2 linked regions of the Saccharomyces cerevisiae S288C genome follow. The protein of the gene in region 1 purifies or fractionates together with the protein of each later gene. This does not show direct contact. Each region holds a gene or a part of one and is shown in the gene's direction. Other genes may lie near its edges.

Region 1 (8,734 bases):
CCTAGTAGGCTCTTTTCACGGAGAAATTCGGGAGTGTTTTTTTTCCGTGCGCATTTTCTTAGCTATATTCTTCCAGCTTCGCCTGCTGCCCGGTCATCGTTCCTGTCACGTAGTTTTTCCGGATTCGTCCGGCTCATATAATACCGCAATAAACACGGAATATCTCGTTCCGCGGATTCGGTTAAACTCTCGGTCGCGGATTATCACAGAGAAAGCTTCGTGGAGAATTTTTCCAGATTTTCCGCTTTCCCCGATGTTGGTATTTCCGGAGGTCATTATACTGACCGCCATTATAATGACTGTACAACGACCTTCTGGAGAAAGAAACAACTCAATAACGATGTGGGACATTGGGGGCCCACTCAAAAAATCTGGGGACTATATCCCCAGAGAATTTCTCCAGAAGAGAAGAAAAGTCAAAGTTTTTTTTCGCTTGGGGGTTGCATATAAATACAGGCGCTGTTTTATCTTCAGCATGAATATTCCATAATTTTACTTAATAGCTTTTCATAAATAATAGAATCACAAACAAAATTTACATCTGAGTTAAACAATCATGAATTCAACTCCAGATTTAATATCTCCACAAAAGTCAAGTGAGAATTCGAATGCTGACCTGCCTTCGAATAGCTCTCAGGTAATGAACATGCCTGAAGAAAAAGGTGTTCAAGATGATTTCCAAGCTGAGGCCGACCAAGTACTTACCAACCCAAATACAGGTAAAGGTGCATATGTCACTGTGTCTATCTGTTGTGTTATGGTTGCCTTCGGTGGTTTCGTTTTCGGTTGGGATACTGGTACCATTTCTGGTTTCGTCGCCCAAACTGATTTCTTGAGAAGATTCGGTATGAAGCATAAAGATGGTAGTTATTATTTGTCTAAGGTTAGAACTGGTTTAATTGTCTCCATTTTCAACATTGGTTGTGCCATTGGTGGTATTATTTTGGCTAAATTGGGTGATATGTACGGTCGTAAAATGGGTTTGATTGTCGTTGTTGTTATCTACATCATCGGTATTATTATTCAAATTGCATCCATCAACAAATGGTACCAATATTTCATCGGTAGAATTATTTCCGGTTTGGGTGTTGGTGGTATTGCCGTTTTATCTCCTATGTTGATTTCTGAAGTCGCTCCTAAGGAAATGAGAGGTACTTTAGTCTCCTGTTACCAACTGATGATTACCTTGGGTATTTTCTTGGGTTACTGTACCAACTTCGGTACTAAGAACTACTCCAACTCTGTGCAATGGAGAGTTCCATTAGGTTTGTGTTTTGCCTGGGCTTTGTTTATGATCGGTGGTATGACTTTCGTTCCAGAATCCCCACGTTATTTGGTTGAAGCTGGTCAAATTGACGAAGCAAGAGCATCTCTTTCCAAAGTTAACAAGGTTGCCCCAGACCATCCATTCATTCAACAAGAGTTGGAAGTTATTGAAGCTAGTGTTGAAGAAGCTAGAGCTGCTGGTTCAGCATCATGGGGTGAGTTGTTCACTGGTAAGCCGGCCATGTTTAAGCGTACTATGATGGGTATCATGATCCAATCTCTACAACAATTGACTGGTGATAACTATTTCTTCTACTATGGTACTACCGTTTTTAACGCTGTTGGTATGAGTGATTCTTTCGAAACTTCTATTGTTTTCGGTGTCGTCAACTTCTTCTCTACTTGTTGTTCTTTGTACACTGTCGATCGTTTTGGACGTCGTAACTGTTTGTTATATGGTGCCATTGGTATGGTCTGCTGTTATGTAGTTTACGCTTCTGTTGGTGTCACCAGACTATGGCCAAATGGTGAAGGTAATGGTTCATCCAAGGGTGCTGGTAACTGTATGATTGTCTTTGCCTGTTTCTATATTTTCTGTTTTGCTACCACTTGGGCTCCAATTGCTTATGTTGTTATTTCTGAAACTTTCCCATTGAGAGTCAAGTCTAAGGCTATGTCTATTGCTACAGCTGCTAATTGGTTGTGGGGTTTCTTGATTGGTTTCTTCACTCCATTTATTACTGGTGCTATTAACTTCTACTACGGTTACGTTTTCATGGGCTGTATGGTTTTCGCCTACTTCTACGTTTTCTTCTTTGTGCCAGAAACTAAGGGTTTGACTTTGGAAGAAGTCAATGATATGTACGCTGAAGGTGTTCTACCATGGAAGTCTGCTTCATGGGTTCCAACATCTCAAAGAGGTGCTAACTACGATGCTGATGCATTGATGCATGATGACCAGCCATTCTACAAGAAAATGTTCGGCAAGAAATAATTTCACGCTAAACCGTAGTGCTGAATAATAGTGTATTTTAAGATTCGATGTGCTAGTCAATAATGATAAATAATACACAAGATTTATGACTTTATATATATAATTCTCTGATACAGTTAATAAAAGACATTGGTACATGATATCAAACAGAATTTTAACATTTCTTGATCCAGTTTGTAAACAAAACAAACAATTTTTCTACCATTTAACTTCATACCATCGGCGAGAGCCGAACAGGAAAAAAAAGAAGTCTCCGGTTATCGTAAGCAGTATCAAATAATAAGAATGTATGTGTGTGCAATTTGTTATACCCACGAAGAAGTGCGCAGTAGAGTTAGAAAACCAACTGAGTAATCTTTACTCCCGACAATCGTCCAATAATCCTCTTGTTGCTAGGAACGTGATGATGGATTTCGTTTGAAATCCGGACGGAAAACTCAAAAGAAGTCCAACCACCAACCATTTTCGAGCCTCAAGAATCTCTAAGCAGGTTTCTTTACTAAGGGGATGGCCTTTCTGTCCTGGACATTTTTTCCTTCCTTTTTTCATTTCCTTGAAAGGAACAGATTTTTTTTGACTTTTGCCACACAGCTGCACTATCTCAACCCCTTTTACATTTTAAGTTTTCGGGTTGAATGGCATCAAATTTGGGAAAATTTAGCTTACTCAGACACCAACACATTTTTTCATGAGTATTGTTGGAAAATCTTTCCATGCTTATCAGCCGGAATACGGAACAACGGCTGCTGTGATGCCGCAAAGGGGCAAGGAAAAAATAAGCAACACACACCGAAACAGGAGGAAGAAATTCCGAACACAAGCCTAAGAAGACACCGCAGTTGTTGCAACATGTTCACATGTTCATCCCCCTGCTACTACTTGGAAATTAATGTAGGGGTAATTGGAGTGCGCCGGCCCGTGCTTTCAGAGGAACAAAGGAAGAATTGTTAAAAAAAGGCAGTGACAACGAGCACGGGTGCACCATATGGTGTGATAAGCAACCTAGGACAAAAAGAAGTGCGCAGTTCCTGTGTGCGGCGCCAAGACAAATGTTTCATATGCTTCTCCAAGGGGCTACGCTACCTAGCCTCACCACCCGATCTCTTTTTTTCCTGAACGCAGAGGGGACCGTACGAAAAAAAATGTTTTTTAGGCAACGGAGATTCGTTTTATCCACGTTTACCCCACAAAAAGTGCAGGTACATTGTGGGGCCCCGGCATCGAAAACCAGTTTTTTTCCTTTAAACGCTGGAAAAAAAGGAGAAATTATTGGAACTTTGCAGAGAATAGTCCGTAGGCAAATTGAAAATGTTCCTTAAAAAATTTCGTTTCTTACTCATTGAGATTATTCAGATGCCCTCCGTGCCTTCATTGAAAAAAATCCAAGAGATGTCTCGGATCTGTATGCAGATTTTGGCTTGCAGACAATGGAGAGCAAATGGGTATACAATATAGAAAGCACAGAAACATATAAAAAGAGCTCGAGAAAAGACATATGGTTTGTAACTATCTTCTTCTTTTTTCCAATTTTTCTGTTTTAATAATAAAAAAACAAGAACAAACAAGCTCAACTTGTCTTTTCTAAGAACAAAGAATAAACACAAAAACAAAAAGTTTTTTTAATTTTAATCAAAAAATGTCACAAGACGCTGCTATTGCAGAGCAAACTCCTGTGGAGCATCTCTCTGCTGTTGACTCAGCCTCCCACTCGGTTTTATCTACACCATCAAACAAGGCTGAAAGAGATGAAATAAAAGCTTATGGTGAAGGTGAAGAGCACGAACCTGTCGTTGAAATTCCAAAGAGACCAGCTTCTGCCTATGTCACTGTCTCTATTATGTGTATCATGATCGCCTTTGGTGGTTTCGTTTTCGGTTGGGATACTGGTACCATTTCTGGTTTCATCAATCAAACCGATTTCATCAGAAGATTTGGTATGAAGCATAAAGATGGTACTAATTATTTGTCTAAGGTTAGAACTGGTTTGATTGTCTCCATTTTCAACATTGGTTGTGCCATTGGTGGTATTATTCTTTCCAAATTGGGTGATATGTACGGTCGTAAGGTGGGTTTGATTGTCGTTGTTGTCATCTACATCATCGGTATTATTATTCAAATTGCATCTATCAACAAATGGTACCAATATTTCATCGGTAGAATTATTTCCGGTTTGGGTGTTGGTGGTATTGCCGTTTTATCTCCTATGTTGATTTCTGAAGTATCCCCAAAGCATTTAAGGGGTACTTTAGTCTCTTGCTACCAATTGATGATTACTGCCGGTATTTTCTTGGGTTACTGTACCAACTTCGGTACTAAGAACTACTCCAACTCTGTGCAATGGAGAGTTCCATTAGGTTTGTGTTTTGCCTGGGCTTTGTTTATGATTGGTGGTATGACATTTGTTCCAGAGTCTCCACGTTATTTGGCTGAAGTCGGTAAGATCGAAGAAGCCAAACGTTCTATTGCCGTTTCTAACAAGGTTGCTGTTGATGATCCATCTGTTTTGGCTGAAGTCGAAGCTGTCTTGGCTGGTGTAGAGGCAGAGAAATTAGCTGGTAATGCATCCTGGGGTGAATTGTTTAGTAGCAAGACAAAGGTCCTTCAGCGTTTGATCATGGGTGCTATGATTCAATCTCTACAACAATTGACAGGTGATAACTATTTCTTCTACTATGGTACTACTATTTTCAAGGCTGTTGGTTTGAGTGACTCTTTCGAAACCTCTATTGTCTTGGGTATTGTTAACTTTGCTTCCACCTTTGTTGGTATTTACGTTGTTGAGAGATATGGTCGTCGTACTTGTTTGCTATGGGGTGCTGCATCCATGACTGCTTGTATGGTTGTCTATGCTTCCGTGGGTGTCACCAGATTATGGCCAAATGGTCAAGACCAACCATCTTCCAAGGGTGCTGGTAACTGTATGATTGTCTTTGCCTGTTTCTATATTTTCTGTTTTGCTACTACATGGGCTCCAATTCCTTATGTCGTTGTTTCTGAAACTTTCCCATTGAGAGTCAAGTCTAAGGCTATGTCTATTGCTACAGCTGCTAATTGGTTGTGGGGTTTCTTGATTGGTTTCTTCACTCCATTTATTACTGGTGCTATTAACTTCTACTACGGTTACGTTTTCATGGGCTGTTTGGTCTTCATGTTCTTCTATGTTTTGTTAGTTGTTCCAGAAACTAAGGGTTTGACTTTGGAAGAAGTCAACACCATGTGGGAAGAAGGTGTTCTACCATGGAAGTCTGCCTCATGGGTTCCACCATCTAGAAGAGGTGCCAACTACGACGCTGAAGAAATGGCTCACGATGATAAGCCATTGTACAAGAGAATGTTCAGCACCAAATAATTTGCGAACATTTTTATTAATTCATGATCACGCTCTAATTTGTGCATTTGAAATGCACTCTAATTCTGATTTTATATTTTTAATGAACCCTTACGATTTATATTGTATGGCAAGATGTTGCCAATAGAAGTATAATTTTTTATTAATTTTTTTTCTTTTCTAAGCTTTGAAGAAAAGTTAACAGCTTTACCCTTCAAAGTTATTGTTTTGTAGCGCTAGAAGCGAAGTAGGCGCTCTTTCTCGCATAAGCTACCTTAGGAGGAAAAAAAAAGTCTTCTATTATAAACAAAGTACTCTATAATTCATCAAAAAAATTAATTATGAGCCGGAGCTTTTCACAATCAGTGTACATATGCAGGGCTCACCTCGGTACTGCGCTTTTCTACCTGAAATTAAATAGAGTCACCTCATTACAATGAAGCTACTAAACTCCTCAATGTTAAACTGGCATTGCGACAGAGTAGAGAAGGCTTGTCAATAAACCTGAATTTTTGGTAATAAAAAGAAAATGGGGATCATATTAGGCCTTTATGATCATCCTTGGCAAACTACATCCCATATATGTTTGAAAAAGGGTTAATGATATGAAAATGTTTTTATTTAATAAGAAATGATGTACTACTGGCGGCGATTGGTAAAGAGGATCTAAGTTTTCTTTCCTGGCAGATGATAAACAGTTAGCATTCCCCAAAAAAAATAATTTCACCTTGTTAAAAAGGTAATTTGCGAGAAAACATGAACAGTCTGCCCCTTAATGAACAGTTTTTGGCCAAAGTCCTATTCGAATATATTTTAGTGGAAGAAAATCTTGTAGGCTGTAAACTTATTGATAGGCCCATTTGGTACTATTATATGTTATTTCAGCAACAATTTATGGAAAGGTTGCCGTAAGTAACCTTTAGATGGCAGGAAGGAAAAAAATCATGCTTTAAGAGTGGCTTCAGTAGCTAAAAAGGTAGTATACATCGCACAGTGAATATTCGCCCCAATGGACGGAAAAGTTCATGCAAGATTAAACGCAGTACCAGAAAGCCGCGTTTGTATGGTTTTATTGGCGTCCATACAAATAACTTATTAGCGGGGTGACAATTCAGAGACAATTCTAATGTCGAAAAGTGTACCATCACTAAAGTATTCCAGGGACTTCTGCCCACCACGTAGAAACGCGTTGTTGAATTATTTGACACAGTAATTTACCTAACTGGTCAAATGATTCTGTCTACTTCATTGGCTATTTTTCGATTTCTTTAACCTGCGACAGGAATTCAACAATGTTTAAACAAAAAATTCTGACAGCTAACTAGTAATTTTTGACATAAAATAATGATTATCTTCACCATGATAGAAATGCAGGACACGTAGTAAAAAGAAGAGATTTTTCCTTCTAGTACCGCGTGCTCAATACCACACTTTTGCAAAAATGCATCGATATATTAGGTAAACTCAAACAACGAAAGGAGGAATAGGCATTCGATATTGCTATTTTCAAATTGTATGCTGACGTCAACTTTTTATTAAGGATATGATAAAATCAACAAATGCCAACTTCTTCAACTTTTAGAAAGTACGAAATGCTAATAATCTTTTGTTCGTATGCTCCCTGAGTTACAATTCTAAGATCATTTTTGTGTTCGGTCACCAGCAACACTATATAACGAAATAACAGTTGCCATATTCGTTTTCTGTCTTGTTGAAGCTCAGATTGCTCAAGAAATAAAATAATTACTACATGAGACAAAAAATCTCATGGGAGCAAAATTTTCAACGCATGTTCAGACCATTTTTTTTTGCCGATGAGTGAGTAATCGCCAATGGGTCTTAATCAATTACAGATCTTAAACAGTCGTTTGGTTTTCGATGCTCAAGGGATCGGACCAGCAATAATCGGAAGAAGAGATCAAACAATCGGTCATTAGTCTCAAAGAACATGCAAGCTAACACAATGTTAGTGAGGAAGAGATAAAAGTGTGGGGTGATGGTTGTTCCTTATGTTTATTACAGGAGAACGTTAAGTGAACTCTGAGAACTAACTGCAGCAGCTTGATTCTCCGCCTGTTTACTTGGAAAAGAAATGGGAACAAAAAAGGTACTGCATTTTTTTCCGGTTCTTTTCTCCACCTAGGATGAGGAGTAATTTGCCTTAATGGGGGATTAAATCCGGGGCTTTCCAAAGCGGGACCCATTTAATTCCACCTTCGGATTTTTTTGCATAAACTCTCAATTTCCCCGCGATCCATCTGCCGAATGGTGCACTCTACGGAAAAATACAGTAAGAAAAAAAAAAGTCCTGTAATCTTCAAGTCTTAGATTGACAGGAACGTTAATATTTTTCCTGATCTATGTTTGACAAGTATGGTAATTGATAAAATTACGCATATACTGCCAATAGCCCTAAGTGATAGTAGTCGGAAGAAAACAAAATGGCAAGCAGTTGACAGCAAAAATTGTTAGCGTATCCTATGGGTGGTGGAAAGAAAAGTTTATTAAGCTAGTATTATGTGTTTTTACTTTCTCACGGAAAAATTCTCTAGAAGAAAAGCGATTTTATTTTTTTATTTTTATTATACTTAGCATCTCGAAAAATTTCATTCACACGGTGAAAAGAAATTCCGAATGAATTAAGATCGCATTTAATTTCTTGATGTCTACATTAACAGGCTGCACAAAACAACCCTAGAAAATAGTACTCTCATCGCTAAGATCATTTGGGGTTGTTAAGCATGCCCTGCTAAACACGCCCTACTAAACACTTCAAAAGCAACTTAAAATATTTTTATCTAATTATAGCTAAAACCCAATGTGAAAGACATATCATACTGTAAAAGTGAAAAAGCAGCACCGTTGAACGCCGCAAGAGTGCTCCCATAACGCTTTACTAGAGGGCTAGATTTTAATGGCCCCTTCATGGAGAAGTTATGAGGACAAATCCCACTACAGAAAGCGCAACAAATTTTTTTTTCCGTAACAACAAACATCTCATCTAGTTTCTGCCTTAAACAAAGCCGCAGCCAGAGCCGTTTTTCCGCCATATTTATCCAGGATTGTTCCATACGGCTCCGTCAGAGGCTGCTACGGGATGTTTTTTTTTTACCCCGTGGAAATGAGGGGTATGCAGGAATTTGTGC
Region 2 (4,585 bases), on another chromosome or scaffold:
TTTGGCTTTCTAATTTATCCAGCGATAGGAAAATATGATCAGAATATTTTGGTTCTGGAGAAGCATCATCTAATTTACAACGTGGATTGATCAATTCAAATGGATCTAACAGGGCACCACATTTGTCACATTGATCCCCACGAGCATCATCGTAGTGACATTTTGGACATTCACCTTCCACGTAACGATCAGCCAGATAAGAATTATGAACTGGACAGTACAATTGCTTCATAGATTGTTCTTCTAGATAACCATTCGAATTTAGCTTTGTAAAAATATGTTGAGCAATCTCCGTTTGCTTGTCCGTCGTAGTTCTACCGAAATAATCAAATCCAATTTGGAACCACTTGTAAACGTCACTGTGGATTTTGTGATATTTGTCACATAATTGTCTTGGTGTCACACCTTCCTCCAAAGCTTTAGTTTCCGTGGCAGTACCATATTCATCAGTACCACAAATAAACAAGGCATTATAATTACGTCCCTTACAGTAACGAGCAAAAATGTCTGCTGAAAGAACACTACCGATGATATTACCCAAGTGTGGAACGTTGTTGACATAAGGTAATGCCGAAGTGATCAAGATGTTTCTTTCGTTTGGCTTAGGCAAAATTTCTGAATCCTTTGGCTTAACTGTTAAGTCAGCTTGGATTTTCACTGCGCCGATGTTTTTGAAAGAAGAAGAATCACGTGGAACATGCTTTTTAGCCAATGCTACAGCGTTATGCACTTTGGATGGCAATTCTGGGAATTTAGAATGAACTAAAGAAGAATTTAGAGCATAAACGTTAGCAAACAGGATCAAATCTGTAGTAGTCAATGGTTCTTTTAATTCGACCAAGTAATTTTCAATGGCCTTATTTGTCAAAACCTCGACATGTTGTTGAGGTAATTCTTTATGATATAACAGGTTTTGTAAAGATGCCAATGCAAATTGATACTTGTCGGAAGTTTGACCTTCAAAATCATCCATGACATATCTTAGAATAGCGTTAGCATCAAACAAAAGGAAAGGTTCCTTTGTATTGCGCAATTCCATGGCAGCATTATCATTGTCAACTTCAGGCTTTAAATTTTTGCTTGCATATTCAAGTGCTAGGGCAATCTTCAAATTGTTCGCTAACTGCAAATGGGCAGGATGTTTCTTCGATTTATCAAAGGAAATGAGGAAAGACATGCTTGTTGTAAATTTCCGCTTTTTTTTCAAGTTTTATTCCTCCACAAAGATGCATATCAGGAAGCAAATCATCATTAACATTAGACATCGAAGAAAATTTGTCATCGTCTTTTTTTTTTTTTCGTTTTCTCTTTCGATAAGTTGCGTACAGAAATTTTTTCTGCCTCCGAAATCATTCGTGCCTCGTGATATTGAGAAGAAGTGACTATACTCGGGCAATGCATAAATGATCGTTTCGGCGGCTAACAAAGATAATCATAGCAAGTCGACAGATCGATAGGATACACCATTATCATCACGCTACGCGTTCTCGGGAAAGCTTTGACTAGAATATTTTTCAAAGTTGAATTATATTATGTTAATCTTTTGACTTCATGCCTTTTGAATTCCCCTCCATAGGTTCCCATTTTTGACTTCAACAATTCCTACTTCAAAATCCCTGGTTAAAGAAGCCTTTCCTCAGTTTGTACAACTATGTCCGCTGTAGCTAAAAAGTTAGCATAATTCATGTTTTATGCCTGAGACGTTTTAAACTAGTACTTAATCTCTATCAATAAACTTAACCCAGAAGGTCTCAAGATTAAACATGTTATTTTTTCGTCCTTTTATTGAAAAAAGTTGAAATAGCAGCGTCGGGTAATACCAGGAATATATTTTTATCGGCACGGCTACATAGCGAAGGGTCCATTAGTAAAAATGAAAAGAAATTCCACAAAGTTAGTGAGGGGAAAGTCCTACAGAAGGTCAAAACAGTTGCTACCGGGTTCAAAGTACTCAATTGAAAATAAACACTGCTACAAAAATGCATGCTACAAACTGGTTCGACGATTGGAACCCAGAAGCTCTTTATAGAGACGATGTCACTGGCTGCGATGACTGTTCCGAAACTTCGCCAATTCCAAAGTCTGGTATTATATGTGGACCGATATTAAGACTCATCAACATGGATTTTAAGGAAAAAACCTACGAGGGGTCTATTATGGTGGTAGTTAGAGGCGAGGAAAACTTTCCGAAAATTACCTATCAGCTAGGGCCCTCTTTGCCCTCTGAGGATGAAGACATCGAAGTTAACGAGGCATTCTTCGAAGGTAAACTTTTTCATAAGGACATTTTAAAAGATGATAATATATGGTTTTACAGGTATGAGATTAAGTTGCCCATGTCCAACTATGAGCAGATGGTAAAATATGCTGTTGACGGTACTATGGAACCACATTATAGGTTCTTCGTTCCCTCTTTCACTCAAAATTCGAACGTTATCTCCTATTCATGCAACGGATTTTCACTGAGCGTAGATACATCGAAATTCAAAGGTTCTCTATGGTATGATGTCCTTAAAAAGCATCGATACGTTCATTATCATGCCATTCTCGGCGGCGGAGATCAAATTTACTCCGATAATATTAAACTGCATGCGCCAAATCTTAAAGCTTGGCTGGAGACAAAGGACCCAATTAAGAAGTATAATACTCAGACCACTGAAGAAACAAAAGAGCAGATTAGGCAGTTTTATTTAGAACACTATTTAAACTGGTACGGTTACGGTCACTGGTATGGTTCTACCCCAAAATCCAAGACCACCCAAAAATGCTTTGTCAAGTCACTAGCTTGTATTCCTGCCATTAATGTCTGGGATGACCACGATATTATTGATGGCTATGGATCGTACAACGATTCCTTCATGAAGACTGAAAATTTCCTCACAGTGGGAAGAATGGCTTACCGATACTATATGCTTTTCCAGCAGCATGTCAGTGCTTCTAAACAAGATGGCGATGAGTATGCTTATCTCAAGAGCAAACAATGGATTCTAGGTAATGAAAAAGGGAGTTCTTATATCGGTGAAAGGTCTCACTCAATATTCTCTTGGTTGGGTCCGAAAATGGCCATGTTAGGGTTGGACTGTAGAACTGAGAGGAAATTACACGAGATTTTCTCAGAAAGAAGTTATTCCTTAATTTGGGAACGTGTCGAAAGGGAAATAAAAAATTTAAAAGGTGGCCACTTATTGCTGATGCTCGGTATCCCGATTGCATATCCAAGGTTAGTATGGTTAGAATGGCTTTTTACCTCAAAACTACTGGCTCCAATTAAATATTTATCTAAAAAAGGGATATTTGCTAGTGGCTTCGTTAACGAATTTAATGGAGATGTAGAACTGTTGGATGATTTAAATGATCATTGGTGCGCGAGACATCATAAAAAAGAAAGAAACTACTTGATAATGAAATTGCAAGACATAGGTGCTAAATATGGCGTCAGAATAACCATATTATCAGGCGATGTACATTTGGCATCTGTTGGGAGATTTAGGGCAAAAATTCATAGACACCATCTCATCATGTCTGAGGAGAAGGAAAAGGAAAACACCAGAATTATTGAAGAACCAACGAAAGACGTAAGGCTGATTTTTAATATCATTGCTAGCGCCATAGTAAATACCCCACCGCCAGATGCAATGGCCACGCTATTGCAAAAAAGATGTCGCTTGCATCATTTCGATTTGGAAACGGATGAAGATGCCGTACCAATTTTTGCCAAGGAAGTGGATGGAGTACATAAACGTAAAGAATCATGTTTCATGAACAAGAGAAACTGGTCAGATATTATACCTATAGAAAACCTGTTGAATAATCCCCAATTGAGTAAAGAATTAGGCGTAAAGGTTGGTGATATAGTCATTCCTGGTATCATCACAGAACAGCAAAAGCTACAGAAATTGGAAAACGATGACCAAATTAACTCTTATCCAGTAACTTCTGGTGGCTTGTTTACCACCATTCATGTTGAAAGAGATGCAAATCAAACAAACTCACAAACTGTGAGCTACTGTTTACCCATTCCAGAGTTAACAGTTACCTGCGAACGGTTGTCTCACAAGGGTATCAAACATCTGAATATCACATAGTTTAGTTTTGTGATAATTACAGATTTTTATTTAGCAGTTCAAACTTTTCTATTCATTACTAACGGACTGTCAAGTGCGATGCTGTACCGGAAGTAAATGTATATACTGATTGTTGAAAAAAAAAAAAGCTCAGTCGCGCGTGGCCTTTCTCTATGGAGATTTCTCAAACGATATTAATCCTGTATATCTCTATTAATTTAGTTAATACATACACGATATATCGTCGCTTTTATTTTTTTTTTTCAAATACTTCTTCTTCCTAAAAGAGTTAAAAACTCTTCTCTTGTTTTATGAGCCCTAAACCCTCCAAGCATACAAGAAGTTACCGTAGAAGATCCCGTTTTTTGAATGCCTCTTGAAACCATGCACATATGAGAAGCTTCCATAACAACGGCTACACCTAATGGTTTTAGAATATCACTTAGGGCCATTGCAATTTGCTTTGTAAGTCTTTCTTGAACTTGGAGCCTTCTCGCATACATTTCTGCCAATCTGGCCAA

The links. The genes of interacting proteins can lie anywhere in the genome.
Region 2: the proteins of HXT6 (region 1) and YGR266W purify together in Saccharomyces cerevisiae (affinity purification with mass spectrometry, with the first as the bait; one large-scale study listed by BioGRID). This does not show direct contact.

The regions. Positions count from the first base shown.
Region 1 is NC_001136.10:1,156,483-1,165,216, reverse strand, and holds HXT6 (hexose transporter HXT6), read left to right. Parts: upstream 1-3,896; coding exon 3,897-5,609; downstream 5,610-8,734. Other genes in the region: hexose transporter HXT3, read left to right, coding at 557-2,260; YDR344C (uncharacterized protein), read left to right, coding at 2,768-3,211. UniProt on the Saccharomyces cerevisiae protein: High-affinity glucose transporter.
Region 2 is NC_001139.9:1,020,677-1,025,261, forward strand, and holds YGR266W (uncharacterized protein), read left to right. Parts: upstream 1-1,979; coding exon 1,980-4,085; downstream 4,086-4,585. Other genes in the region: methionine--tRNA ligase MES1, read right to left, coding at 1-1,177; FOL2 (GTP cyclohydrolase I), read right to left, coding at 4,328-4,585.